Alligator mississippiensis: one gene and its partners. The protein of the gene in region 1 interacts with the protein of each later gene in a biochemical or structural test. Links are inferred from orthologs where the notes say so. Each region holds a gene or a part of one and is shown in the gene's direction. Other genes may lie near its edges.

The links.
Region 2: of the proteins of LRRK2 (region 1) and ARHGEF7, one has a biochemical effect on the other in vitro, tested with the Homo sapiens proteins (2 studies listed by BioGRID and IntAct). The link is inferred for Alligator mississippiensis from reciprocal best matches to the Homo sapiens genes LRRK2 and ARHGEF7.
Region 3: the proteins of LRRK2 (region 1) and ECHS1 interact on a protein array, tested with the Homo sapiens proteins (2 studies listed by BioGRID and IntAct, with this or other methods). The link is inferred for Alligator mississippiensis from reciprocal best matches to the Homo sapiens genes LRRK2 and ECHS1.
Region 4: of the proteins of LRRK2 (region 1) and MAPT, one has a biochemical effect on the other in vitro, tested with the Homo sapiens proteins (3 studies listed by BioGRID and IntAct). The link is inferred for Alligator mississippiensis from reciprocal best matches to the Homo sapiens genes LRRK2 and MAPT.

Annotation. Positions count from the first base shown.
Region 1 is NC_081827.1:28,643,999-28,651,313, reverse strand, and holds the start of LRRK2 (leucine-rich repeat serine/threonine-protein kinase 2), read left to right. Parts: upstream 1-4,314; 5' UTR 4,315-4,365; coding exon 4,366-4,498; intron 4,499-4,584; coding exon 4,585-4,670; intron 4,671-7,315. UniProt on the Homo sapiens protein: Serine/threonine-protein kinase which phosphorylates a broad range of proteins involved in multiple processes such as neuronal plasticity, innate immunity, autophagy, and vesicle trafficking.
Region 2 is NC_081824.1:353,744,524-353,751,445, reverse strand, and holds the start of ARHGEF7 (rho guanine nucleotide exchange factor 7), read left to right. Parts: upstream 1-3,914; 5' UTR 3,915-4,237; coding exon 4,238-4,402; intron 4,403-6,922. UniProt on the Homo sapiens protein: Acts as a RAC1 guanine nucleotide exchange factor (GEF) and can induce membrane ruffling. Functions in cell migration, attachment and cell spreading. Promotes targeting of RAC1 to focal adhesions. May function as a positive regulator of apoptosis.
Region 3 is NC_081829.1:24,317,720-24,324,777, reverse strand, and holds the start of ECHS1 (enoyl-CoA hydratase, mitochondrial), read left to right. Parts: upstream 1-4,047; 5' UTR 4,048-4,062; coding exon 4,063-4,174; intron 4,175-7,058. UniProt on the Homo sapiens protein: Converts unsaturated trans-2-enoyl-CoA species ((2E)-enoyl-CoA) to the corresponding (3S)-3hydroxyacyl-CoA species through addition of a water molecule to the double bond.
Region 4 is NC_081827.1:159,259,818-159,267,555, reverse strand, and holds the start of MAPT (microtubule-associated protein tau), read left to right. Parts: upstream 1-4,735; 5' UTR 4,736-4,750; coding exon 4,751-4,913; intron 4,914-5,466; exon of another isoform or gene 5,467-5,574; intron 5,575-7,738. UniProt on the Homo sapiens protein: Promotes microtubule assembly and stability, and might be involved in the establishment and maintenance of neuronal polarity.

The DNA of each region.
Region 1 (7,315 bases):
CTCAGGTGCCACTCCCATCGGTATGCCTGGCTCTGCTCCCCTCTGATCTTAATAACCCACTAAAATAGGGGGGGCTGGGGTTTTAAGGCGCCCCTCCTCGCCTTTCACCAGAAAGGTAACTGGACTGGCATTCCTGGGGGACTCCCCAGCGGAGTGCAGTTTTCAGTCATACCTGTCGGGAATCAGAGCAGCCGGCCAGCAGCTGCCTTCTGACCCCCCCCACCGAAGCAGTAAAACTTTTACCTGACAGGCGGGTAGTGATGGATGGGGTGAAATTAACCAGGCACAGATGCGTGTTGGTTATAGGAGATTGTTTACTTACGTCGCCCAGATAGTGACGTGCGATGCAGGCTTAGCCTTTGTTCTGCTACAGTTGCATCGATTACAGTCAAACGTACGGGTTACAGCCAAGCAATGATGGACGTGGCGCCGAAAACGTGCTATCGTGCCTGCAGGGCTTTGATACGTCAAGATTTACGATGACGGGGAGTATTGACAGCTGATCAGACCATCAATCTACTCTGGTGATGGACTCAGGTCTCTCCTCAGAGGTTTCTCCGGGGTTCTCCATCTGGGCGGAAGTTGCTAAACTATTTATAGACAGAGGTGTCTGACGGAGATACCCAATGATGAACCGTTATGTGAAATCTTTAATTTTCTGGCAAGCAGCAGTTCTTTGTGCTCTCAGGTTGCTATCAGGTTACAAGGTAGTGGGTTAGGTTTTCTTCCTGTTACATATGAGGTTATGATGAGGGACTTACGCTTGTTTCTTGACCAATTGCAGGGATTTATGGCAGGGCTATACCCTTTCACCATGACCAGTTTCGTTTCTTGTTTGTGACATGGGCATAAATTATATACAGCTCTCTGCCAGGATTTTGTTTCAGGAGCAAGGATTTCTTTTTTAACCCTTAGTTGGCTACTTGAATGGTATCTCTTGCTAGTGGCATGGGCACTGATTAACTGGGTTGTGACAATACCCAGGACCAGGAGCCTCCTGCCATCCCCAATAGCTCCTGACCTTAACTCCAAGATGCTCCATGAGCAGCAGCATACCTGGGTGTTGTTGCTCCCTTGGCTGCTGGCAGAAAACTGCTGCTCTCAGCCCTGAGAGCCAGGATCTTAAAATGGCCGCCTCACCAGGGCTGGCCTACACTTGTCTGCTGCCTGCTCTCCTCAGACACCAAAGGTGCTCTGCCACCTATGTTCCCCCTTAAAATGGTTCCGGGGATGGGGGCTTTCCCTGCTGCTCACAAAGTAGGCTCACTCAGAGCCTGCAACAGCCCTTAAGTGGTGAGCATCCTGTTGGTGCTCCCCCCCACAAGTATATTACTGTGACACTGAGCATCACACAATAAATAATAAATATTAGCATAATCTCATAAAACATCACATGACAATAAATTGAAGGTCAACTACGTGATAGAGTGAAGCAGTGAAGTTGAGGTATCTATGTTTGTTGCTTGAGGGTAGTCAGGAGCCTCTGACTGAAGTGGATCTATTTTTATTCAACTGACTTTGTCATTACAGGTGCTTGCACTAGTCCAAATGAAAAGGCACTCAACTAGTTTCTAAAAATGAATCGCTGTTCCATGCTTAAATTACCCCAGGTCAATGTTTTGTCTTCTAGAACTTTGAAGGGAGATAAGATCATTCATCATGGCCAAATGTAGTCATAGTCTATGGTCTATAATTAAGAAATAGTACAAAAGTTTCTTTGAATGAGACTTAAGGTTGAGACAGTACCAGCACTACAACAAAAGCTGACAGCCCTGAGATTGGCTAGCTACTAAGTATTTGCAATAACCAGAGATCCAAATGCAGTTCAGAATGCTTGTCACTCAAAATAACCAACCTTTTTAATAAAGGAGACTTCCCTGAACTGATTGCCCAAGAGCCAAGCATTAAGAAAAAAATCAAGTTAGCTTCAAAACAGCCAAATATTTCCAGCTTTTGTTGTTATTGTTCAAAATGGCTAAAACATTAAAAACCAGAGATAAGCTTGGTGAAGTTATTCATTTCCTCCCTCTTTATTTAGCACAGTTCTGTGGGAACTAGTGTTCATTTGATGACAACTTACGAATTTAACTTCTAGCAATTTAGTGACAGCTGCCGGCAATTTAACTTTTCACCTTGCAAGAGCAGCGAAAAGTGCCAAAAATAAGGCAGTTAGAGGTTAAAAAAAGTTAGACAGTATATATAATGTTTAGCTTTTCTACTATTAGTTTTGCTCCATGTTTCCTTAAAATAGTTTGCTAATCATGGCAAAAATATTCCCATTTCTTATTCTTGCAAGCCATGCTTTAGGAATGATTTGATGTTTATTGGCAGCTGTTATAACTACTATGAAAACATGTCAGGTTGTGTGTTTGAAATTTATTAAATCAATGTGATTAAAATATTGTAATTTTAATTTTCTTAAAGGTGTTTACATAGGCACAAAGAAAGTGCACTGATTTATAACCAGATACCTACATTAAGGCTAGAAAATTTGCTTTGATTGCTTTTTGAGTTGGCCTACCATAAAAGGTTATCAATATTTTCTTTACTGAATTGACCATTTGTTTTGTGAAATTGAGTTTCTATAACTAGATATAATCAAGTGGAAGCGATTTTTCTTCTATGCAAAAGCTCTACAACCCCAGTCTGGGAAACCAGATCACAGACTTAGCTCTCCAAAAGACATGTCAGCAAGATGAAGGAGCACATCACTCTCCATCTCTTCCAAACACCCTTACTTAGTAAGCTTGGCTCTATTCACCCTTTTTACCACCTCAGTGATAAACCCCATGAGGCCCTCCAAGTCATGTTAGTTGGAGAATATCACCACGTGGTCCCCAACAGCCACACTGGGAGGTAAACAGGTCACAGCCCAGCTTGCTCCACCTTCAAAGGGGGTTGTCAGGTTGGCTGCATAGATCTCAGGTTTGCTTTCTTACCCAGCCCCCACTTAAGAACTGCTGTACTAGCTTAGGCTAAGGATCAACTTCGGTATCCCATACTTTGACAGTGGCAAATAATGGTTGCTTTCGAGAAACTAAAAGAAACAGGAAATTTGTAGAGTTCTATCCAGTATCATACCATTTTGGTGAGCAGCAGGTTAATGCTGTTTTGACTTTGAATGTTATAGACAATAGTCCCCTATAAACCTGTCCTCCATAAAGTACCACCTAACCCACTCAATATTACTGGCTTGAACATCCCAGGACAATGAATTTCACAAAAGTATTTTTGTTTTAGGCGACTCCTAGCATTGGATGTGGGTTAAGAAATAAAGCTGTGTAGAAGGATATTTTCACTGGTCAGGGACAAAGAGCAGAAGTGGTTGGGGAGGATCACTTTCAATTCTTCCCCCCACTTTAGGGAAGAGGGAAGGGGTTGTACTCTCATTATTTTATTCCGTCCCTGTAGTTCTCCCCCTTCTGTTATAAGCCACCCTAAGACTGTATGAAAAGGTGTTACACGTACACAAGGCTTGCTAGATTCAAGACCTAGTTCCACCAATTCTTTTTTTCATTCCATGGATTTTTCTAGATGGCGGTTTTCCCAAGCTGAAACCTTTCAGCCTTTTCAGCTTCTCCTTATTTGGAGGCCATTCTGCAGGCCTGACTGATCTTTCGTGCCCCTGCTCTTTTCCTTCGGCACTTTTCCTTCGCTACTTCCAGCATAGGAAAGTTCAGTGCGGACTTTCTAGGGACACAACAGTGTCTCTGCTTCATTCCCTTTCCTAGCAGCACTTCATATCCTGTTCGTCTGGTCAGCTGGACACTCACAGCAGCAGCCCTGACCTTGGAGACCCACCGATGACCCCCAATCCCCCTCTGGGGACGGGAACCCGCAATTCAGCCCCATCCCTGCGCGCAGCCGGGGCTGTGGGGTTGCTCAACGCAGTTTCATCTGCTCTTTCGTGGGCTTGTAACTCTTTCTGGAACCCTCTGCCTGGGTCTGCCGCAGCTGCGACTCGCTCCTCCCCTCCTCATGGCGAAGGCCCAGGCCCCCTCCCTACTCGACAGGCTGCGGGGCCCCGCACCGCCTCACGCCAGGGCTGGGAGGGCGACACAGCGCCCCGCACGCTCCCCCTCGCTCAGTGCTCTGAGAAGCGGACGGGAAGACGGGCGGGTGAGGAGACCCCACCCCCACGACGCCGACCCCCTCTGCCCAGCTCATAATAACAGCCGCTCGCCGCGGCGCCCTCCCTTATAAGGACGGGGGTGGGCCCGCAGTACCAGCGCCGCCACCCGATTGGACAGCACGGCTGTCAGTGGCACCGCCTCCGGGGGAGGAGCCGCGGCAGCGCCGCCTACAGGCGTCCTGGGGCAGCGCCGGCCCCGCCCGGGCGGGACAGATGCGGGGCGGCGCGGGGCCATGGCCGAGCCGCGGGACGAGGCGGCCCTCGCCAAGCTGCTCGTGAGGCTGCGGCACGTGCGGGACGGGCAGCGCCTGGACACGCTCGTGCAGACGCTGCGCGACCTGCTGGCGCTGGCGGCGCTGCCCGACGGTGAGACCGCCCCCCCGCCCTCTCCTCCCGTCCCCTGTCCCCCCCAGCCGGGCCGCGGCTGTAACGCGTCTCCTCTCCCCGCGCAGCCCCCGCGCTCTTCCGCGGCCGCGCCGCCCACGTGCCGCTGCTGGTGGTGCTGGACTCCTACGTAAGCGCCGCCGAGCTGCAGCAGGTAGGTGACCCCGGCCCGCGGGGGCGCGGCTCGGCTTCCCCTGGCGCGCAGCTCAGCGCTGCGTGGCCCGGGCTGGGAGCGGGGGGGACCGCGGGGAAACGCCGATGGGCTTTTGCGGCGTAACTCGGAAAGCGAGCTGGGTCTGAGCAGGGCGTCCCATCCCGTCCCGTCCCCCGCTCCCGTTCCCCTCTCATATGCAGCCTTCACATTTAAGGTCTAGGACAGCGGCTCCCAAAGCCTGACAGATGGCACCCCACTAGTTTAAAACGATACGGCCTTTACCAGTACCACCAGCAACTTTTTGTCCTATCGAGTCATTATAATACGTCTGTTAACATGTACTGCTGACAGGTGGTCTAGTACCTGTACCGCAGATTGGGAACCACTGGTGTAGGCAGTTCTGATTCGGACATCCCCACCTTCAATAGCTACCCACCCTCTTCCTCCAAAAGTTTGTCCCGGCCCTTTTTGCATCTAGGTAAATGGGCAACTGTCGGTGGCAGTGAGCGCCACACTTCAATGACTCGCTGCAGAAAAAAGAACTTCCCTTTTTTAGTTTTAAACTGACTACTTGGTAGTTCTGTTTTATGACCCCTAGTTCTTGTATTGTGAGAGTGAATGATAAATCCCTGTCTACTTTCTTTTTGCTGTTCAATATTTTGTAAACCCTTATCGTGTCCGCCCCCCCCCCCCCCCGCCTCTCTTTTCTAAATTGAATAGGCCTGAATAGCTTTCAGTTTTTCCAAACTGAATAGGCTAGTGCTGGTGGGAGCAGTCAGTCTTCTCAGCAGTCAAATAATTTGATGCTTTACCTTTAGCGGATGGTTACAGATGATACAATGTTTGGACGGGTGCTTTGCATTTAGAAAGGAAGTGGCATCATTAGAACCTTCTTGGTGTCTTTTAAAATGTCAGGTTGTTGACTTAAATTGTAAATAGCTGATCTAAGTAATGGGGAAAGAACAAGTGAGAATTTGCAATGTTAAAAAATTTTGATTAAAGCAGCAGTTGGGAACCTATACCCTGGGAGCTGGATCCAGCCCACAGAGCCGTTGGATCCAGCCCATGGAGCTGGATGGGGCTTTGGAAACAAGGGGCTTCTCCTGAGCCACCGATGGGCAGCAGGGAGAAGTGCTGGCAGTAGCCAGGTATTAATTCCAGCTTGCCTTGGACCCAAGATGGATCACTCCAGCCTGCTGCCCAAAACCTTTGCCAACCACTGGATTAAAGCATGAATTTGTGTCTTTGCTTCATTCTATGACGTGTAGTTATTACAATAATAATAATTCCAACTGCTGCTTTAGTTTGAGAACCTCTAAGCATTTTGCAAATAGGAAACATTTAAGAAATTAAGTAATTAAGAAATTAAGTAATTAAGAAAGATATGGGGATTCATCTTCAATCCATGTTAAGAGTTGAACAGTGATTTAATAATACTTAGCCAGGTTGCACGAAAATTTAGAACAGGAAGGGAAAAATATCACATCCTACTGAAACCACAGAGGGAGTTTTCAGAACAAAATGGGGAAGAAAGTAGTTACTTGAGAATTTGGCCAGGTAAATAAATCCATTATTCTTATCTCCGTACTTAATGTAACCTTTAGTTTCAACTTCAGTTTTGAGTATCTTAGCTTTTATGAGTCCACATTAGATTTTTAGGGAGCCTCCAAACAAGTGTTCACATGTGTTTCGCCAGGGCCAAATAGTGGTGCATAGGAGTGCTATTAGTATGTGTCCCTGGGGAACACCTGTGCATGCGTGCTGTGGCACATGGCAAGTTGCCCCATGTCGGGAAGGGGAGGCTGGGATCAGCACACCTACCCTGTCCTCAGCAGCCTTACCTAGGTCCAGGGGTCCCGGGGCTCCAGCAGTGGTGATCCGAGCACACGGAGCCTGACTAGAAACTGAAGAATGGCTCCGGTAAGCTAGGCTCTGGTTTTGGGTGGCACATGCTGCCACCATGTGTGCCACCCCACTCTTTTTTTTGGCATGGGTTTTTAAATTAGCAGTGCAGCGAATATCTGCACGTGCAGTGCATTTGGTTTGTGGCACCACTGACGGGTCTGTGGTGCTGCAAATCCCGTGTGCACTCGTCTGGATGCACTCTTAGGGTGCCTTAGTTTTATTTTAAGTGGTGAATCCTCAGCCAGTGTGGAACTCATATCTTTAAAATGCTGTAATTTCACTTTCCCCACTTACTATTTTCATAATATTTTAGAAGTATAATGCACTGATGTATTCGGTGCTCTTTGCTATGTCTGATATGAGTCAAGCCCAATAACTGCGACATTTGAGGCTGAGTTTACTGCTGCAGTGGTACACTGTAGTCCTGGATTTTGAAGCAGTCTGCCTACATTACTTTCCAGTTGTCTGGACAAGTAAATGGATCAGTAGCTCTTCTGGTTTTGTGGCACTGAAATGAATGACCTGCATTTTTACCTTTGAGTAAGGGCTGCATTTGAGGTGATGAATATATTTCCTCCTGGTTCAGCTGGTCACAAAATAACTTGCTGTGTTGTTGTCCATCAAGTGTGCAAAGTAGAAGTCTCCTTGTCTCCTCCTTTCAGATTAATAATGTGGGCACCAATACAAGTTGGACTGTGCAAGAAGTCCTCTTCTTCCACTCTGTAAGAAGTGGAAAACTT
Region 2 (6,922 bases), on another chromosome or scaffold:
ACTGCCCCTAAAAGATTGGGTACCAATATCCCAATCATTTTTCCCCGGGCTGCTCATATGTTTAAGAGGATTAAAGTTTCTACAATAGCAAAAAATGCCCTCTGATTAGCTGAATATTTTCAGAGGAGTTAGGTATGATCATGTATGATGTGTGTTTAAGTGGGAGTAAAGATCAGCTTACAGACAATTTGAAACAAAAGAGGGCCAAAAACCACATACAGATCAATCAACAAATATATTTATCAGCTTTAACAGTGAAGTAGATTTGTTTCCAATTAAAAGGGGTGAAGGCTAAGAATAATGTTTATGATTTATCATTTGGGTTATGGTAGCACTTAAACCAGAGATTGTAATTCTCAACCAGCGCTGGGGTGCTTTGAGATTCTTTCAGGGGTGCTGCAGTGCCACGCAATGTTAGAACCATTAGGTGTGCAAATATGATTCATGAGATAAACCGGGATATCAAATAGGAACCCATAGTGTTAAAAACATTCTGAATTTTTAAGTAACTATGGTGGGGCTTTTGTTTATTATTTGTGTTTAATACATTATAAGGCAAGGTTGACAGAATAGAAGAAAGGAAGTGATTAGTGAAAATGAACAACAGGCAGCAAAAGGAAGAGTGGAGGTAGGAATGGGAGGTGTCAGAGAACAGAAGAGAAGGGCATGAAGGGCAGCTAGAACCAGGCTGAGGAGACTGTGCGGGAGGGGGAAGTTGAAGCCAGCAGCCAATCGGTAAAGGGCAGAAAACGTTCACTGCAGAAAACAGCTTGGTGGCATCAGTGTCTAAAGGCCCCTGGATCCCTGGGGAAGTTGCTTCTGCAGCTGTTCCTGCTGGCTTGTGTGTATGCTTGGTTACACACAAACCTGTCTTTCTTTTCTGAAGTCCACATGCAGAAGGTGAAAGTTAAAGGGATTTATGTACTTACATCTCTTAGGCCCTTTTGAAAGTTTCTCTCTGGAAATGGTTGAAAACTTTTTTACGGGTTCCTATGATGGAAGCAAGTTTGCTTAGAGGTTTTCCAGTGCGGTATTTTATACTGTTAGCCATGCTGAGTGGTCCTCTATTCATTCTGTACAGTGGTGTGCCTTATAGTAAAACTGAAGGAGAAAAGCAAAAGCTACAAAAGATAATGCTAACATAAAAAAGCGATATTCAACCTCATCCTCCAGTGTTTAAGAAAGTCTGTAACTAGTAGGGATTAGGAGACATAATGTCATGAGTCAAATTATCTCATGTCTGCCTATTGCAAGGGCACCTGCATCTTCCTCAGAAGCATCTGGTGTCAGCCATGCTCAGCGATAGGATACTGAATTAGATGCATCATTGGTCAGATCCTGAATAACAATTCCTATATACATATCCTGAATAACAGTTCCTATATACATAAGAAGCTGATTTGGCAGTAGCATACAGCAAAATTGGACAGGCTGTTAACAACGGGCTAAATCCTGGAATGCCAGAAGCCTTATGTAAATAAGAAAGGTAGATTTTGTTTGAAAATATATTAGTTAACACAGTTTTAACACAACTTTGCACCTTGCGGTGGATGCTTTAACACTGAAAAATATTAATCCTAGTTTACTCTCCTCACATCTAGTCTAGTCTAGGCAAGGCTTTCAACACAGGGATAATTTTCCTCATACAAGTAGATTAATTGGGGGAAAAAAGGCACACATAATTTTTGGCAGGTTAATGTTCAAAATATTTCTAAGTATTTATGTCAGGCTCTCAGCTGCTACCAGAAACCATCATTGTGGAAAGTCACAGAAAATAAACCAGTGAAACATATGGCAGACTGCAGACATGATGACTGGAAGTGAACACAGGAAGAAAAGCCAGCACTTTAGCCACCATACATAGTGTTAGTAATTGGCTTCATTGCTCATATAAATTGTAAGCAAATGAGAAAAATGTGCAAATGGGATCAGTTGGGCCAGGAATGTGCTGCCAATGTTCCTAGAAGGCGATCCCATAAAAATAATCCCTTTCAGCTTTCCATTGAGCTGTATTTTCTGTGATGAGCTTGCTTGCAGAAAGGACATAAAAAGGCTGATGAATCCATTCACGTTTTCTCCTTTTTAAAGAAAAACACTCTAACTATAACCAAAAAAATGATGAATTAAAATGAATCTAATATAATATGGTCATTCAGTGCCCCCTGTTCAGCTTGTGTAATTTGAAATAGATGTGTAGCTTTGTAGGGGAATTCAGGAGGTATCTTCACCCTGGGATTTTTAAAATCAACTGCAGTTTAGTATGTTCCTAAGAGGGAAAACATTTTTTCTTCAGGAATATTTTCATGTAACCCAGGGATGTCATCACTGTCAGGGATGACTTGGTAGTATGTGGAGTGTGTCAAGTTTATCAAAGTGGAGAAGCCATCACAAGTCTCTTTTGGTTTGACGAGAGCATTTTAATATGAAGCTCCCAAAGGCTTCCAGCAGCCCTATACAGCACATCTTTACTTGCTGTGGCCAAATTTTGCTTTTTCAGGCTACTGCAGTTTTCTGGGGGATGTCCTTCATTTCTGCTATTTCTTTTCCTTCTAGGGTCTGTCTGGCTTTATGGACAATGCTAGTGGCTCTCAAACGCAGCCGTCCTAAAGCACTCGCGCTAGACCAGTGGTTCTCAACCTTCTTAGGCGCATGGCACCCATAGATGGACTCAAGGAAACTCCTTAGAAAATGCAGACTATTAGCTTTTGCTCCTGGTTTGAATACAGAAAAATAATGAAGCGATTTTTTGTTTTGTTTTGTTAATTTTTTTAGTTTGTTTTGTTGCATAGAACTCAGCCCATAACAGGGCAGAATGGCTTCAGCACTATTTGAAATCTCTGGGTTTATCTTAGAGTCTTTGCACACCTAACTGTGCTAACATAGCCTGTCAGACCAGGGCACCCTTGAAAGACTCTCGAGGCCTTCCTGGGGTTGAGAATCGCTGTCCCAGACATGCCAAACACATGACGCTGCCCCAGACATACATGACATGCCTCTGCATTGGTTTGTCGAGCGAGCTCGCAGACTGCTACCAAGTGGCACTAACCAACCCTCCACCAGAGGGCACATAGCGCAAATCTGTCTGTTCTTTTAGATCTGCGCTACAGGTTTCTCTTACTTTATGTGGGTTCTGTATGGGTGAATTCGCTCTTATGCAATTACCCTTTTTATACCAAAAAGTCATTATATACGACATAAATTCACTCTTATGCGATTGGTGTGGTGGAAACCCGCAGTCAGCTACTTTGTGCGGTGCATTGTGGGAGTGATGCGCACCAAAATATAGTCTCCTGTGTGGATCTGTGCTCCTTGCGGGTTGTCTGCGACATGTGTTTCTGTAGTTGCCATCCCCATTATGATAGTGCCCTGTGCTGGTGTGTACTGTCTGCTGTTGGAGAGTAGACATTGTCCTGTAGAAATGGGTCTGGGGGTCAGTACAATCAAGGTCTTGGAAGTATCCCTATTTGTTACATTGTAAAGTGGGTTCCCTTTATGCGACTCAGAGTTATGCGCAGTTTTTCCAGGAACGCACGTACAGCATAAAGCGAGGGAAACCCGTACTCGACACAGGGCAAACTCAAGGCGGAGCAAATCTAGTCCAGAAAGACTGCCGCGGAATTTACCTGGCTGCATATTGAATTCAAGGGACTCCTGGGTTGCTGAGGGGTGAGGAGAGGGTTTGGCTGACACAAGGCAGGGGAGATGGACGCCTTCATAGACTAACTTGAGTAAAGGTATCCCTCGAGGAAGAGGGAGCACAACTCCAAGTCACCTGAGCAGACGCTGACCCCGCCCTTCGGGGGACAAGAGGCCGTGTAGGCCTCAGCGGAGACTTCATCTGGGCCCCCAGCGGGGCTGCAGGGGGAGGGGATTTAAATGCTCTGCCAGATGGTGCCTGCCCGAGACTCCCGTGTGCGTGTGTGAGAGAGAGATCCTGCCCGCTCTTTGTTCGCGTGCCGCCCAGAGACGTGCGAAGGTCACGCGTGTGACACGCGCGGCGCGGCCCTACCCGGCCCGCAGGCTCCCCACGCCCGGGCCGCGGACGCTAGGGGGCCGCAGCCGCCAGCGGCGTCACGTGGGGGCCGGGCCGAGCACAGCGGGAGCTCCCGGCGCTGCCGCGCGGGGCGTCGCCCGCTACATCGGCGCGGGGAAGGGCAGGGACAGGGACGGGGGACGGCGAAGGCGGCTCCTGCAGCCCGCGTCGCTCCTATGTGAAGGGCGCGGGGCGGCCGCAGCCATGAGCTCGGCCGAGCAGACCGTAACGTGGCTCATCACCCTGGGCGTGCTGGAGTCGCCCAAGAAGAGCATCGCGGACCCCGAGGGCTTTCTGCAGGCGTCGCTCAAGGACGGCGTGGTGCTGTGCCGCCTGCTCGACCGCCTGCTGCCCGGCACCATCGACCGGGTGAGTCCCTGCGCGGCACCGCTCCCCTTTGTGCCGCGGCGCCATTGGCGGCCCGGACCCGGGCCCGGGCGGGAGGGAGCCGGCGGCCCCGCCTGGCTGCGGGGGCTTCCCGGGCGCGGGAAGGGGCTTTCCCCGCGGGCCGCGGCCCAGCCCCTCCTTGCAAGGTGGCTTGTGTTGTGGGGGGAAGGGCAGCTGCGGGGCCCGGGCATCCCTCACCTGGCCCCGGGGCCACATGATGCTGCCCCTGTAAGCATTGGCTTGTGTGGGGAGCGTGTTTTGTTTTATTTAGGCCTCCTATTTTGTACCTTTTCCTCCCCCCTGTAAGCATTAGAGGCATGTTTTAAAATGCTACCCAGAGCTCCTGCACTGGGCGGTTGTCAGCCTCCTCATAGAAGACGAGGGCTGCAAGGGACCTCAGGAGGGCATCTATGGCAGCCTCCTGCTCAAAGCAGAGCCATCCCCGACTAGATCATCCCAGCCAAGGTTTTGTTTAGCCAGGGGCTTAATATTGTTGTTTCCGCCTTTTTATATTTTTCTCTATTCCTCAAAAAAAAACTCTGCCCCCCCCCCATGGCAAACATAGGTTACAATTTGGAGTTTGTGTGAAAGGCATGAAATAAACTCACTTATGATACAGTCATGCCTCTTGCCATACAGCAATTCCTCTTGTGTTCCCAATTCAGGGGGTTTTGAAACCTTATACCACACCCCAACATACAATATAGTCTTTCGTATGATCGGACAGGTAGCCCAAGTATTCCAGTTCTGGCTTTTCTCCTGAATAGTAGAGGGATTGGTATTTGTCTGAAGGTGAAATTAGAGGCAGGTGATTTTTTTTTTTTTTTTTCCCCGTACAGAGCAGAAATAGAACCTTTGACCTACCTATTGGCACCTGCGCCAGCTCTTTGCTATTGAACTTTACCAGATAATGAGCAAAAGAATGAAGGAGATCAATTGTTGGTATTTTAAAAACCTATGTTTGCAAAATACATTCACATAATTGAGGAAGAATTGCCTTGTAATTGAGGTATTGGACTGCGGTTAAGGGAATGCTGTTCTTGGCACTACTGTGCAACACTAGTTTGTATGTAGAGACCCTTGTGGTACTAGGTTCCTGACAAACAGGTAACCAAAAAGGTCACCCCAGCACCAAAGAATTTACAATGTAATGATAAGACAAAAGGCAACATACACTTAAGTGGAGAAAAAGGAGTTTATGGGCAGTGCGATAAGCAACAACGGTTGTGACCTGTTACCTGCCTTTGTGAACATAAACAAGTCAGTCTCTCTGTGCCTCAGTCTCCCCCTCTGTGAAACACAAGTGATAATTTTTCTTCTTCTCTTGCCTGTGTAGGATTCAGTCTTGCAAAGATTCAAACATATTCTTAATTTACACAGTGCAAAAAATCCAAAATTGAGGGTCAGTCTACATTACAGAGCTACTGCCACTGCTGGTGCATCTTTGTTGTCAGAGGCTGGAGATGCAGTGTATGCAGACAGAGGCTCATGTAGTTATACCGTCTCCAACAACAGAAACTTAATTGTGGCAAATACCTTCTTTTTGTCAGTGAAGTTGCATGTAGACTGGGGGCTTTGCCACCATATTTAACTTCTCAAGGGTATTTGCTATCTTTTCATACCCCTAGTTATCGTATCTATGTCAGCAAAACTTTGTAGTGCAGACCAGACCTCAGTCCTAGCTGCATCAGAGCCAGAGAGTCTAGCTCTTTGGAACAGGGACTGTGCCTTACTGTGCACATAGATAGAAGCGTAGAATGAAGCCCTGCACATAATTGGGGATGTTAGGTGCTACTCTAATGCAAATAATAATAATAATAATAAAGAAAGCTTAATGGAAAAGATGATAGGAACAGTATCTCATTATTTTATTTTATAAATATAGTATGACAAGATAATAGTTTTATAAATAAATATATAGACCAGCTACTAGAGTAACTGGTACCACCAAAAATATAGCCCACTTTAGTTAAGGTGAAATTTATGACGGTTTGGCCCTGTGTTAGGTTTGTGCAGTGGGACACTATTGGAGCAGCCACAAAGGCGGCCCTCCATGTTCCCTACGTATTGTTCAGGCAGCTCTGAATAGGTCTTTATTGAGGTCATTGGATCCACGTTTTGATAGATGCAGTGGCTGGGAACCAACGGACTTCTCAGCAATTTGCAAACCGTTATTATGGTTCTTTGGCTAGAATAGTGGCTGTAGAGAGTCTGCGGCTTGCTCAAGTTGGGGTTGTGTCAGTTCTAGCTGCCTAACTTGGTTTGCCTGAGTCATCCCTCTACCACAGAGTGAGTTAATAGTCTTTGTGGTAAAAAGGCTGCTTTGCCTTCTCGCCCCCCATATAGCACTTGTCGACTTGCCAATCTACAGACATAGCTGACAGACTTGTAAAACTACTTCCTATCAAACTTTGGAAAGATTCTGTTTAGAAACATTCTGCATGTATATTACTACTTGGCAACAATAGTAGTTTGGGGTGAGCAAGAAAAATGGAATCAAAT
Region 3 (7,058 bases), on another chromosome or scaffold:
GACTACCACGTGCACACACTGATGCGACATTTTAAAATAAACAATTTTAAATGTAATAAACCTATTTAATTTAATGAGGATTAAACCCCATTACATGTACAAGCAGCCCATGTGGCCAAAGGTTACCTTTTAAGGCTCATATACAAAAAAACTTCAGACAAACTACTAAGTCCAGGCTCCAGTAACCTGACTCTGGGAAAGGCTGACTACCTTTGGGCAAAAAGAAAAGAAAAGAAAAGAAAAAAAAAATCACATGCCAATGCCCCACAATTTCATTTTCCAGTCTTCCCTATACCCAATGATAATGAAAAATGCCTTTGTGTTTTAGTTTTTCAGGAATGGAAGGGCAAGCAGGGAAGCAGACTTCTTCAAACATTAGGTCCCCACAGGTCAGCACTTGTACTCATACAGGTTGAATATAAGCTTATACAAACAGTAGCGTAAAAACCAAAAGGGACAAAAACTCCTTCGCTAAGACACTAGCTCCTACTGCAAGTGTGTCTATAGGGCCTAATACAAAGCGGCCCTAATCCTTGGCACTGTAACATGAGATCACAAAACAATTAGTAAATGAAAATAGAATCAAGCAGCCAAATTATTTGAGGACAAACCCAACAGAGGCTAAGGCTCATTCACTTGTGGACAAGGAAATTATCAGAGAGGAATCCTAGAAAAAAGAAACAACTTAAAGATTGAGGAATGTTTTTATATTGCATATTATAAAAAACAGTTACTGCAAGTTTCAGGGAACAACATAAACGGTTTGAAAAGAAATACAATTCAGGCCACTGCACTGATAGCCAGAGCTTCAAGTGATATTGGCACTTCAACATAGCCCCAAGTCCTTCCTACCTGTACGTTTGGAAGGACCATCATGGTCACATACAGGTTTCCCTCGATTTATGCAGTAGATGCGTTCCTGGAAAACTGCGCATAAACAGAATTCATATAAAGGGAACCCAGTTTATAACGTAACAAATAGGGATACATTCCTACCGTGGTGAGGGAGGGAGTGAGACTGGGGCTAGGGAAGGGGCAGGGAGAAGGGTGCGGTGCAGCCCAGTGGCTGCAAGCAGGTAGTGTAAGCCACCCCTGGGTGCTGCAGCAGGGGTGGCACTGGGCTTCTCCTGGTGCTCGGGGTGGGTGGCAGCCTGCAACTGGACAAGAGCAGGCTGGGGGTGGCAGCAGCACTGGGCTCTTCCTGCTGCTTGGCGGCAGCTCTTGGAGGGCAGGTGGGGCTACGGCAAATTTAGGGGTGGCAGCGCCGCTCTCCCATCACTGCGGCCTGCCCCAAACACCAGGAAGAGCCCAGTGTTGCCATCAGCCCCAGCCTGCAGCAGGACAAAAGCAGTCAGCCGCCAGCCCTGAACACCATGAAGGGCCCAGTGCTGCTGCCGGCTCCAGCTTGCAATGGCAGCCTGCTCTTGCTCTGCATGCAGAGGCTGCAGAGCCTGGCACAGCCCCACAGCCCTCCTTGGTGTGGGCAGCTGGCATCTGCTACTCCTGGGGCCCCTGCAGCAGGGGTGAATGGGGAAGCAGAGCCTTGGGGGTTTGGGGCGTGGTGCAGTCCACAGCTGCAAGCTGCTGGCATTGGCCGCTCCCAGAGCAGCTGCAGTAGGGGCTGGGGTGAGTGGGGCCCTGGCCCCATGGTCTTTTCCCCTCCCTTCCCCTCCCAGCCCTTTCCCCTCCCCTCACAGACTTATCTGCTTGGGGGAGGGGGGAGCGTGCCTATGCTGATCGCATAAGAGTGAATTTACCTTGCATATAACGAATTTGGGGTATAAAAAGAGTCATCGCATACGAGCGAATTCTCATATACAGAACCTGCATAAATTGAGGGAAACCTGTAGTCCAACTTCCTACAAAAGGCAAGATTTTCTCTTCCTAAACCATGAGAGGGATGTTTGTCAAGCCACTTTTTGGCAGACTCCAATGGAAATAGATATTACAACTTTCTTTCTCCATCTTGGTTAGAAATAGGATGGAGTCACCATACAATTCATTGTTGTGAACATATGGTTGAACCTGCACAACTTTACTACAGCAGACTATCAGTACTTTGCTGTGAAAGAAGGGCAATTAGGAATACTTCACAAAAGACACCTATTTCGAGAGACTTACAGATGAACCTCTGGTAGGCACACAGTAGCAGCTGAATAAAGCTACAGCTACCTGGAGCAACAGCACTTAACAAAGGCAAGACCATCCAAGACCTTAAGTGAAGCAGGATCACTAGATGTGAAACCAAGAGGAAATACAAAGCAAGAGTAACCTTACTGCGAGTAACAAGGGCTGGGTTCAAATTTAGGAGCTTAACAGCTCCTACCAGCCTCAACCTGGTTCATGCCTCAACCAGAAAGCTGGGGAAGTACATTCTGATTGGGTGCTCTAGTGTGTGCAAATTTCCCTGCTTGTAAGCAAATAAGCAAATGAAACAGGGCTTATTACAAGGAAAAAGTGAGCCGGCACCAGCTAAAGGCCATCTGAACTAATCATCCAAAATCCTTTGCAGCTAAACATGATTGTCTTTCATGATTATCTTATCTGTGGGTCTGTAGATGACTGATGAGGCCTATCCAAGATCAACAGACTATGTTGCAGCTCAGGCACATGTTTCCATGGGTGGCTCTGGGTTCTTGATTCAGTCCAAAACATGCTGTTTCTGCTGCTCCCACTTTTCCATCTCCTGTTGTCATTGTGAGGTTTCAAAGTACTGAGAACCTTGCAGCAGAGTCTTCCTCCATTTGGGGCAGTCCTGGGTAAGTCTCCCATGAGCTGATGTCGATATTGCATTTTTTTCAAGCTAGCCTTGAGGATGACCTTTAAGTACTTTCTCTGCCCTCTTGAGCATATATGCCTTGATTGTGCTGGGAGAATAAAACTTGCACTTAGTCCCCATAGGGTAGCATCCTGCAGTTTGCATTTCTCTCTAAAGCACTTCAGAAGCTTGTAAAACCGTGGGGAAAATATGGGCTCCCACTAGCTGTTGTGTGCGCTTGCCACTGTCACAGCAGCTGCCCTACAAAATACTTAAGCTGGCTGTTTTAGATCCCACCCGTTGCGTTTGCAAACCTGGCTCATGTACTTGGCCCAGAGGAAGAGCAGGACATCTGGCATCCCTTTGCCTCAGGACTGTTTCGCTTTGAACAGCTTGGCCCTTGCCACCTTTCTCCCATGTGGAGCGCCAAAAGAAAACATGGGTGGCTCTGGACTCTGCCAACCACATGTTCCGAGCGGGGAAGACTAGAGCAGCGCCTATCAGCAGCAGCAGGAGCACCGTCTTCAGTGCCCCCCGGTCAGGCAGTGTGATTGCCCCAGCCCCTGTCTCTGCCTGGTCCTGGCCTCCTTGTTTCCCATGTCCTCTGCCCCCTCAGCTATGGGTCAAACTCCACCCTGTTATTCCAAGCCAAATCAAGTCCAAATCCAGGAGCCAGTCCAGAACCATAAGTGGCCCTGACCTGGCAAACATCCTCCATCCCCACCAGGCGCTTCAGATATTTCCAAAGTCTTTTGGCAGGCATCCTACTTGCAGGCCCAAGCCCGGAGGCTCGGGGTTCGGATGCCCCCGCGTTTCACCTGCGCTCAGCCACACGAGCAAGCAAGGGAGGAGCCTCCCCTTTCCATACCGTGGGCTTTAAGCCCCAACACCTCGGGCTACTAAACCAGCCAGAAAAGCAGTTATTCCGAGCTGCCTGCATGAACCCAGATACATGGCATTTCCCCTGCCAGGATCGCTTGGTGGAGAAGCAAAGGAAACCATGTTCCCTTGCACTGAAGCAACCTGCGCTGCAAGCGGACACGGCTCCCTCCAGCTCCCGGCCCGGCCCGCACGCAGACGCGGCTGTGGCAGCCAGGCCCGAGCAGTGGGGGGGAGGCGGAGCTCTGCAGCTTCTCAGCCAGCGCACGAGCAGAGCAGCTCAGCCCACGAGCCAGCAGGGCGCGCAGCGCCGCCGGGGTCTCGCTTGGCCCCGTTCAACACGTGCTCCAGGCGCTGGGGGGACGAGCGGGGCGGGGCGGCGCCGGGTGCCTGCAGTCCCGCCCCCGCCTCCAGCACGCTCAGCCATGGCCGCCGCCGCCGTCCGTGCGCTGCTCCGCCCGGCCCGGGCCCGCGCCCCCGCGCGCTTCCTGCTGCCGCCAGCGCCCCCCAGCGCCGGGGCCCGGCACTGCGCCGCCGGTGAGCGGGGCGGGGCACTCCCAGCAGGCTCGGGCCCCTGGGCCCTGTGGCCGAGGCTGGGCCCTGGCCCTGGCCCTGGCTCGAGCCCGAGCCGTGAGGGCGGGCGCCTGGCTGCAGGCCGGGGCCGCCCGCAGGAACGCCTCCCGGAGTGGGCTCGGGGAGCCCCGCCTCGCCTCGCCTCGCCCCTACCCGCAGACAGGGTGGCCTGTCCGGCGCTGTGCACGTCTTCCCTGCTGTCAGTTCAGCCCCTGACTTCTCGGTCTGGCCCCGGACGCAGCCTGAGCGCCCTCCTGCCTTTCCCGGAGTGCGGACCGCCGGGACCCCTCCCTCCCTCCTGGCAGCTTTCTCCCGAAATACTCGGAGTCCCTCCAGCCTTCCCAGGGCACTGCTCAGAGCCTTGGTAGTGGGCTGCTTTCCACTGCACGTGGCTTTTGGCCTGGGCGGTGGGCTGGTAACGATGATACCAGGGTTGTACTCAAGGGGCTCTTTTGGTGACCTGTTTTCTCTGGTGGAAGGAGGGTTGAGTCGTGCTGTGACTCCTAGTTCAGCACATGCACTCTGCAAGAGGGGTCTCAATATCCCTGCTGCCCTTCTGATGCTTTACTGGATTGAGCCCTTTGAGCTGGTCATATCTCATTATTTTCACAGGCCTTTACGTTGGCTCTTGAACGGATGTAACTGTAAGGGTATGCTAGCCATCCAGGGGGCCTTGAAGATGTACGGTCTTCATGTTTTGTCATGCAGGAATAAATCTTAGTGCTGATCTGGATAGACCCTTGTAATAACTGATCCTGGTGCCGTATCAGCTGGCAAGGAGGAGCTGCCTGAACACCTGAGTTGGCCGTCTGCGTGGTGGCAGAAGGGTGAGGCAGTCAGAGCCGAGGTTGGAGGTGCAGCTAGGCAGTTATGTGAGACCCTGCATAATAATTTGTCCTTTCTTTTCAAAGGATTTCTTGAATTTACAGGAATCTTGAATCTACAGTTAAGTGGATTCAGCAAAGGCATTAGCAGGCAGATGCATTAGGAGCAAAATCCTATTTCCCCTCTGCAACCCTCTCTCCCCTCCAAATAATAACAGGAAGAGAAACAGATTCTTTTAGGTTATGTATTCACACGTATTTGTGTGTTTAGTTGTAGTTTGAGGTCTGCTGAGAAACATAAATCAGTGACTTAGCGGGAGGAAAGTTGTTATATTTACCTGGTATATATCTCTAGCAATTTCCAGCTATTGTAACTGCTGGATAATCCTTTCATGCAGATTGTAGTATGCATGTGTCACTGGCTTGCATGCCTTTTGTAAGAGATAGATAACATTTATTGTTTATTTATTTAGATTTATATGGCACCCATCCCAACAAAGGCATTGGGGGGGGGGGGGGGCGGGCAGGGTCATTTTTTTCAAATTCACTTATTAAATCAGGGTTCACACACTGTGCTCTCAGTGGAAGAAAATCTGCTTTGAGTGGTACAGTGGAGTTAAAGCTACTGGTATGTTTGAGAGAAGACTTCAGCCTCAGCTGGGCAGGAAACGTTATCTGGTTATGATCTCCTTTCATCTGAAGATGGGGTACTTTGATTTTTTTTTCAGTGTATTTTCATTTTCTTATTTCAGTTACTCAGGCGAGGTATTAATAGCTTAATAAGGGTTGTGTGTTTCTCTTGATTATTTGGGGTCCCCATGTGAAAGTGGAATTTCTGTCCCTTCTGTCTAGTAATGAGAGGGGAAAAATAATTCTTTCTTTAGACTGACTTATTCTGAGGCCTGTTGGTGGATTGCTGGTTGTGGCTGTAGTGCTAAAAAGCTACAGCTATGGAGGGAATGTGAGTAAGGGTAGAAAAAACTGGTCCAGGCCAGGCCAATTCCAGCCAACCTCTGACCATCCAGATTCATGCAAGCTTGGGGAGATGGCTTTTCTGATTTAAAATTTTTGATGTTGGTTAATGTTGGATTTCAAAGTCCATAGCTGGCTCCTCTCATAGAAGCAGGTTGACTTTGGCAGGTGTATGTGTTCAGTATTGCTCATTGACACCAGTGGGTCTTGTAGATGCCTAGCAGTTGTACAAAACAGACTACTTCATTTAGGTGCCTATCTATGGAAATGATGACTGTGCCACACCCTGCATGTCAGGAATAGGGGTGGTGGGCACCATAGAGCTGAATGCCTCCTCTCCTAAAATAGTCCTTCCAGCAGGTTGTTATGACAAAAGCAGTGCCTTCATTTGACCTGCCTGGAAGGTTCAGTTTGAAAGGAGCAGTTAGTCTGGAAAAGAGTCAAGTGTACCTGTGAGCACATACAAGAGCAAATGCAGTCTGACCAAATGAAGGGTTTCCATTCTACTACAGTGCAGTTTATTAGAGATTCTTGCATGTGAAGGTTGATTTTTAACTTGTTGCTTTGACCAACTGAAACTGTCCTCTGTGATATACTACTATAAGTGGTCTCTTTGTTACCTGCTGCTACAGCAGCTTGTTGCTATTGCAGTAGAACCATGTGAATATGAATATAATTGATGTCCATTTTACATGAGTTGGTAATGCTACTTGTCAGAGCCATGTCCGAAATCTTGGCAAAGTGAGGGGGGGTGCTCTGTTTAATTCTGAAGAAGCTGGTGGTTTTAAGCTTTTCACTGGAGTGGAGTCTCCAAGGCTTGTACTCGTGACCTCTGCCATTGAATTGGGCTGTGGTCTTTGCCAAATTACTCTCCAAGCAGGGTTTGTCTAGGGTAAAGGGGTAATGAAACGGACCCATCTTTGTAAAAAGCTTTAGATTTCTTGATAATCTCAAAATAAAAGCAAGGCGTGACTTAGTTAACAAGATATTACCAGGAGCTTAATGGTAATGAATTATTTTTTCCACTGGGTAGCCCTTTCTGCCTGTGTTTG
Region 4 (7,738 bases), about 130 Mb from region 1:
ATTAAACCTGGGTCTCCCAGGTCCTAGGCTAGTCCTGTAAACTCTAGACCACCCTTCCTTCTCTACACACTGGGAACTGAACCCAGATCTTCCATGTGGGAGGTGAGAATTTAATCAGTGAAATGCAAAATGCTTGTCTATATATTTGTTAATATTATGTTCTTGCAGGTACATGGTTAATGTACATGGGTCTTTGTGATGGATATTATTAAAAAATTATAAGTGAATGACAGGGAAATTCCACTTGGGCTCTAGGGACAAACTTCTCAGGCTATGCTTTTTAGGTTTATGAACTTAACAGAGATCCCTCAATGGAATTATTGTCTGGTATTTCATGGTTACTTATTCCCTGTAATTGGATTTTGTGGAGAAACTGCAGGAGGGATCCTTTGTTAGACTGGTTTAAGGTTTCTTTTTTTTTTCCCTGGGAATCTTTAAAGAGAAAATCAAAAGAAAGCTTATGGTCTCAGAACAGATTTCTGACAGAGGTCATGCAGGGGAAAAGAATTTATGATGAAAAATAGAAGTGAAAAGCCAGAAGGAGACATGAGGGTTAATCAGATACAGAACTCCCTTTTTATATATATTTTTAATTAGGGAAGTATAGTCTAGTTGTTAATGAAGGATTGGAGACAAGATCGCCTGGGTTTTCTGTTCTCCAGGTTGCCCTTGTAGTAGCGTGCAACTCTGGGATTGATTTTACTTGGGTTAGTAAAACAGGTCAAATTGCCTAAAACTGAATCTACACTTGGCTATAACTGTTGATAAAATGTGCTTAGTTCCACTGATTTTAAAACTGTATGGAAAAGTTTTCTAGCACATGCATGCCTACCGTGAAGCAACTGGCAGTGCTTTGGAGGCATAACATAAAAATTCCTATTAATGTAACCATTAATTATATATTTGAAGGTGTCCAAAGCAAAATAGAATCTGTCTTCCAAAAGCAGTTATTCTCTGGTATCAAAATTTAATTTGTCTCTGTTAAATAATCTGGTCCAAGGGCTGTCTTCAATTGCATGGACTTCTTGGGTGGACATGTGCTGTATCTGTTAATTGATATAAAAGATATGTTGATCTCACCATTGTCATAAGTTGACGAGTGCTTCACTTTCTCCAAGCCAAAGAGGTCTAGACCCATCCCCTTTTTTCAATATTCTGGCTATTTAGATGATCTGTTGGCTGAGACTAAGACCTATTGGCTGAATATCAATGTTTTTTCTTATGGTTGCTGATATACTCCCAGGCACCTTTCTCCTCCAATATCCTTACAAGGCATTGTACTTTAGAGCTGGTCTTCAACAGGTAAAGGAACAAGAAGAAAACTGCAATGCCCACTGAAAGAAAATGCATACCGAATTCAACTGATAATGGCAGATGTTTCTATAATGTCCGTGGGCTAGCAAGACTAAGGAGATTTCTTTGTGTTATGAAGTCTAGACTAATTGAAATGTGCTATGTGATAGGCAACCTCTTTAGTTTTGATTGCCTTCTAATGGAAGCAGGGTCAAATATTTCTCTCTGAAGAATTTTCCCATTAACTTCAGAGAAGACAAGAGTAATTCATGACAGATTGTCTGGTACCTTCACATCATATCAGTTCTGGAGATTGGTTTACATTCTAGTCTCGCTGGTTTTGAAAGTGCTTGGTGACATTAGCTTAGCAAAACCTTGCTTCCTCCTTGTGGAGAAAAGTCCATACCTTCCTGTAAAGGGAAGACACCTGCCAATTTAAATCAAATGTGAGTTTGGATCTTGCTCAAGAAACCATACTCTTCATACTGAAAAAATAGTTTGGTGATTTTTTAAAGAATGTAGTAGTGATCCATCTTCAGCATCATCTAGATTCTTTGGTATTTGTGCATATTATGGCTAGAAGAAACCATTCTGATCTACTAGAACCTCTTGCATAACATAGGTGTAGAATTCAACAAGAATTCCTGCCTCAGGCAAATGTGTTGTGGTTAAACTAGAGAATATTTTTAAAAGTCATTTGATCATGGTTTAAAGACTTCAAGTGGAGAATTGACTATATGTCTGTGGAGCTTTATCATTCTGGCTTCAGATCTAGGTGTACCATAGAGACCTTCACTGATATCCTTTGTCTGAAGATTTGTTTTTTCTTTGATGAATAAGAGGATAGTTGACCATAATCTTCATAACAGTTTTGTCTTTCAGCAGATCATGGTCATACTTGATCAAGGTATGTATGTATGTGTGAGTCCTGACAGGAAAATGGATTGCTTTTATAGGGTATGTCTGAATGGCATAAGACAGTCATAAAGCTAACTCAGTTTTTTTTGCATCAGTGTCAGTGGTTGGGGGTGGGGGCAGCAACTGCCCGCAGGTGCCGGTGACAGTGTCGGCAGCACCTTTTCATAGGGGTGCAATGCCATGCTCAGGGGGTGCACATGCACCCCCTACACATCGCCAATGCCCATCACCATTCCAGTAGTTTCACCCACTGTCCTTTCAGAGGGTTTGCCTCTGAAAAAGTTAATGGCAGTCTCCTCTCCACCAGATGAGGTCTGTCATTTCTTTTCCGTTGTCCTCTTCTGTTTTTGTGTAGTACCAGTACATTTCACTCAGCCCCATTTTAATACAGTCCTTGTCTGTGGGGTCCAAGTGTCTCTTGATGAGCAGGTTCCTGGCTTTTCCACAAGGCATACCTAAAGCAAGAGATAAACTGATGGGGCCCCTTGTTGTTTGGTCAAGTGTTTGTAGAGGACCACTTCTTTGGTTAGGGTTCTGAAACCTGTCACCACCAGGAGGAGTGCACAGACTTTCTTCCATACTAGTTTAGAGCTAGTTATATATCTGCAGGGCACTGCCTTGAGATGTATAGACACAACCATACCAACTCTTTTTTTTTTTTTTTTTGGTGAGTTGCAAAAGGACTATGGGATATTGCCCATCCTCCTAACAGTTTTTTGTTAATTAGGCCCTTCAGTATTCTGCTTGTTGCAACTTCTCTTAATATCTGAGTGATCTAGAAATTGTTAAGTATGTTGAGCTGTATAGTTGGTATGCTTGTCTTCCTTACCTTACACCTGAGTTCTGCGGTTTTCTTCCTCTTCCAGTGCCTGATCAAAAAAAGGTCTTGGATGAAAATAAACTGTTTTTAAGGCAAATGGAATGAGACAGATAATGTTTGCTAACAGGGGAGAAGCATCTTATAATGAATGCATTTTCAGCCAGGTAGGTAGGTCTCTTTTTATCTTACGGATCCATAATGTTGACATGATCACTGTTCCTGTTTTGCCAGGGGAGAGGAGTATCCTGAAGTGACCCGAATTACCTTCAGCAGGTCCAGATACTACATTCATACTTTTGATCTGGTGTAGCCCTTATTACAGTTGTCCAGATCTTTGTCCCATCTACCTTGACTGCTGTTGCATGCCCTGATTAAATATGTCCTTGCATATCTTCAAGTAAGACATAGACAAGTTGGAAAGAGTTTAGTGAGAGCCACAAAAATTATTAGAAGTCTGAAAAACCTGGCATACAAAGAAAGCTTGCAAGAACTGGGATTATTTCATATGGAGAAGAGAAAATTGAGGAGTGATTTGATCTGGCTTCAAATACATGAAGTATTGTTATAAAGAGGATGGCAATCTCTTGTCCCCTGTGGGACAGTCTTAAGAAATAAACATCTTAAATTGCAACAAAAGAATTTAGGTTGGATGGTAGGAAGAACGTCTCTAGCGTAAGGGTAGGTAAGGACTGAACTGACTGCTGGGGGGGGTTGAGAAATCTCCAACACTGGAATTTTTTAAAGAGCCAGGTGAACCAAACACCAGCAGGTCTAGAGAGGGATGATGCTGCTTCCAGTGGGAGACTGGACTAAATGACCTCCTGAGGTCCCTTCCAGCCCTGATTTTCTATCATCATCATCACCTAGCAAAGGTCAGTGTTCAAGCTCCTTATGTGAAACAACAGTTCTCAGGGAGAGACGTGCTTAATAAAAAGTCAGTGAGATTGGAGCCCGCAATACGTTTGCCTCACCTGAGGCAGGTAGAAAGCGGGTGAGGTGTCTGCAAATGAATTGTGCTCCCATCATAAACACGGCGTGCCCCCCGGAGGCTGGGGGGGGGCAGGTGGCAGCAGTAGCAGCAGCGGGGGTGTTGTGGCGGCAAGCAGGGAGCTCCCGCAGCCTGCCACAGTGGTGTTGGCGGCATGGGTGGCTGGCAAGCCCTGACCAGCAATTGGCAACCACCCAGAGATGCCACCAGTGGCGATCAGGGACCACCAGCAGACCGTGTTGGCGGTGGGGAAGGGGGACGGTGAGCAGCGACTGCTTGCAAGTGCCACTGGCAGCATCAGTGGTGCTCTTCGCAGGGGTGCACTGCCAATCTCAGGGGGTGCACGTACACCTGCATGCACCCCCTACGTATCACCAGTGGCTCTGATGAAACGCGCCCTTGCCTAACTTCGAGAAAGAGCTGCACGGCCCCCCAACCGGGGCTGCGCCCGTCTGTGACGAGACCACCCCGGGCTGTGGGGCCTTTTGGAGGCCGCCAGTGACCCTGTCTTGGGGCTTCCAGCCGCCTAGAGCGAGGCTCGGTTTCGGGCACGCCTTGCGCACCTGCGTTTGTGCCCCATCCTCGGGCGGGGAGAAGCCGCTTCTCTCAGACAAAGGAGCAGGGCGGAGAGCCGCGCTTTCTGCACATGCGCCCGCGTCCAGCGGCGGCGGGGTGGGGTGCAGCGCTTGTACGCACGCGCACTGGAGCGCTCTTTGGCGGCGCTTCTGCGTATGCGTACGCGGCTTGGCTGTGGTGCTCGTGCGCGCGGCTGCTCCCCCTGGCGGCGGCCCGGGCCGGCGCGGGCTCGGCGAAGGTTCCGGAGCGCGCGGCTGTCACTCCCCTGCTGCCGGCTGCGCGCGCCACTCCACCAGCTCCTGCAGCGGCCGCGGGCAGGTGAGCGCCCGGGGCGGGGGCACGGGCACGGGCACGGGCACGGGCACCCACACCCACCCCCACCGCGGAGGCTTGGGACTGCAGCCTCTGCCCGGCCCCAGCCCCAGCCCAGCGTCTTTGCAAGGGGAAGAGAAGCCGATAGTGGTTGGGGGGGTGCGCCTCAGCCCCGCTCGCTGCGAGACTTTCCCCCTCCAAAACGGGGCGGGGTGCGTGAGCCCCAGCCCGCCGGCGGGGCCCCCCCTCGCCGGGGTCTCGGTGGCAGAAGGCTTCTGTTGCCCCCGGCAGCGGTGGGCGCCGCCTGCCCGCCCTGCTGCACCTTGCGCCCAGGCAGCCGTGCATTTCAGGGCGGAGGTGCCCCCCTCCTCTCGTTCCCCCTCCTGTCTCCCAGTATTTTGGGGAGTCGTTCCCGGCGGCAGGGTGGGTTTCCTGGCGGGGGGACGGCCGCGGTGGTGGTGGTGATGGCGAATGAGAGGTTGGCTGTGGGTACTGCAGTAGGTGTGGATCTGGAGAGAGAGAGAGAAAGGATGGGCTTTTTTTTTCCTTTTTACATCCGAGGTGCCATATTTTGCAGTCTGTCACATCCTCGGTATTGCAGGGAGAATCCTGCTTTTAACGTGGGGGGACGCTTGCCTTCGGGTTGTCAGGTGAAGAAATAAAAAAGGTACTCCCTGCATGCCGCTGTCTCTTTTTAATCGTAGAAATCGAGGGGGGAGGGAAGGAGAGAGATTTAGGTCATCGTGTCTAGGAGTTAGGTTGCTTTGTTGCCCAGCGCTGGTCAGCATTGTGTGATTTATGTTTATAATTCTTGAGCCTTAGGTTTCCTATAGCCTTGGGGGAGCACCCCTTTGAATGCACAGTGTCTGAATCACCTTATTTGATGCAATTGATAATGATAGTAATAGCCATGAGTAGGGTTACAATAGGCAGGCAAATCCCTGATAGGTATTTTGCTCCTTTCTGCTTTTTTTTTTTTTTTTTGGGGGGGGGGTTACAGAAATGCAAGGTTCACTAGGATTACGTATGTGATTTTCTCTCTTGCATGCTTTTTCTAAATCACTGTCTGAAATGGTCTTGTAAAATCCCTGAGTATACTGTATAGCAGCTGGTCACGCCCCTGGTATGGCAGCATAAATGGATGCCTAGTGTGATTCTCATTGAATGGGTAAAGATTGTGGTATATTCCTGTAGTTTAAGGAGAGGAGAAACCCCTTTGTCTGCCAGTATGTGTATCCTCATTCTTCACAGAGTGGTTTTCTCTATTATGCTAAAATTGATCTGTTTCTGTTACCTCTTTTTTTTCCCCCATATACTGTTAATTACTTCTAACTGTGGAATTACCCTGGACACAGGAATGTGGGTCCAACCCCATTTCTAAACATTGTGCCACCCAAGGTCATTTTCCATCTCTTATGAGACAGTCTTCTCTCTCTTTTTTTTTTTTTTTGCTTTTTCTGTTTGTAAATGGAAAGGGAAAGCCCTTGGCAGATACTGGCAGCCACTTCATTGTAGTAAGCACAAAGCATGTTGCACCTGGTCACCTAGATTTGAACTGTTAAACTCATCGGAAGCGGAGACGGCTTATTTGAGACCAAGGAGGTGGAATGCTAATTGTTTTCTTCTTTTCCAAAGAATGTGAGTGTCTGGGAGGGTTCGGGTAGGAAAGAGATGTGGGGTTTTTTGAGGTACTGTTAATCACATCAAAAAATAGAACGATCCCCACCTTGCCTCTCTGGGAGGCAGCTGCCATCATCCTACATGTCGTTTCTCCTTCCTTTGGCTTACCGAACCTCTGTGTGGGGTAGAACTCCGGTGGCAACCAAGACTTAGCCTGTCATTATGAACTGCCTAGAACGTGTTGCAGAAACGGGTTAAGGTTTCTGTTACTTCAGTGGTCTGTTCAGAGCATATTGCCTGACTGATCCAATTCATCTACCTGTGCAGTACACTGGCTGACTTTTTAACAGCTCTGCAAAGGAGATGAAAAGAAGCTCATTGGCATGCCTGAAATGCAGACATCAGGTACAGATTTTATTTAACCTCTGTTCCTCATAAATCAGATTTAAGATGCTTAGCTTTAATAATCTAAATTTTTCATGCTGCAGTCAGGCTCTCTGCAGCTTTTTGCACAGTGGACAATGAAAAAAGGCTTGTTAATTTCCCTGTTTATGGCCAACTTCATTACAGGCTCTTGTAATAAGGGTGGGGAGAATATTTAAAAACCATTGTCATTGGAATTTAAAAATAAACTATGGACACATTTTGTTGCTTTTTTTATAATGTATCTACAGTGCTTGACTCGACAAAATCTATGTGGAGGGGCAAATTCTCAGTCATTGTCTGTGCTATGTGCAGTTTTTCCAGGTGAGCTGTTTGGACTGACCAGAAGATGGTCCATGCTGATTTTTAGCTAGAAGTGCTGGATTTTCTTGCACGTGGTTTTCATGGGCAAGTTGAAGGCTGGGATTTGGATGGAAGAATATGTGCAAAGATGCTTTACTTGAATCCCTTCCCATCCATTTTCTTGTTCTTTAGTTGCAAGCCTAGCTGTTTTCACCCTTTTTGAACTGTCTTCAGTGTAAAATAAGGATTGAAAGCATGCATGTATTTTAGCCTTCACAGTTTAAATGCTGATGAATCATGACATTTGTAGTCTCAGCACTCATGCTAATGGACAGCATGCTATTATATCCAGATATGCCATGGGCTTGGTTGACTAAGTTTCTGTCTCTGTAAGTTGTTACCTATCTGTAGTATGGGGTCCCAATTCTGACGAGTCCTATTTTTGAGTATTGTACAGATATGTCTTGAAATGAGAGGCTTGGGCA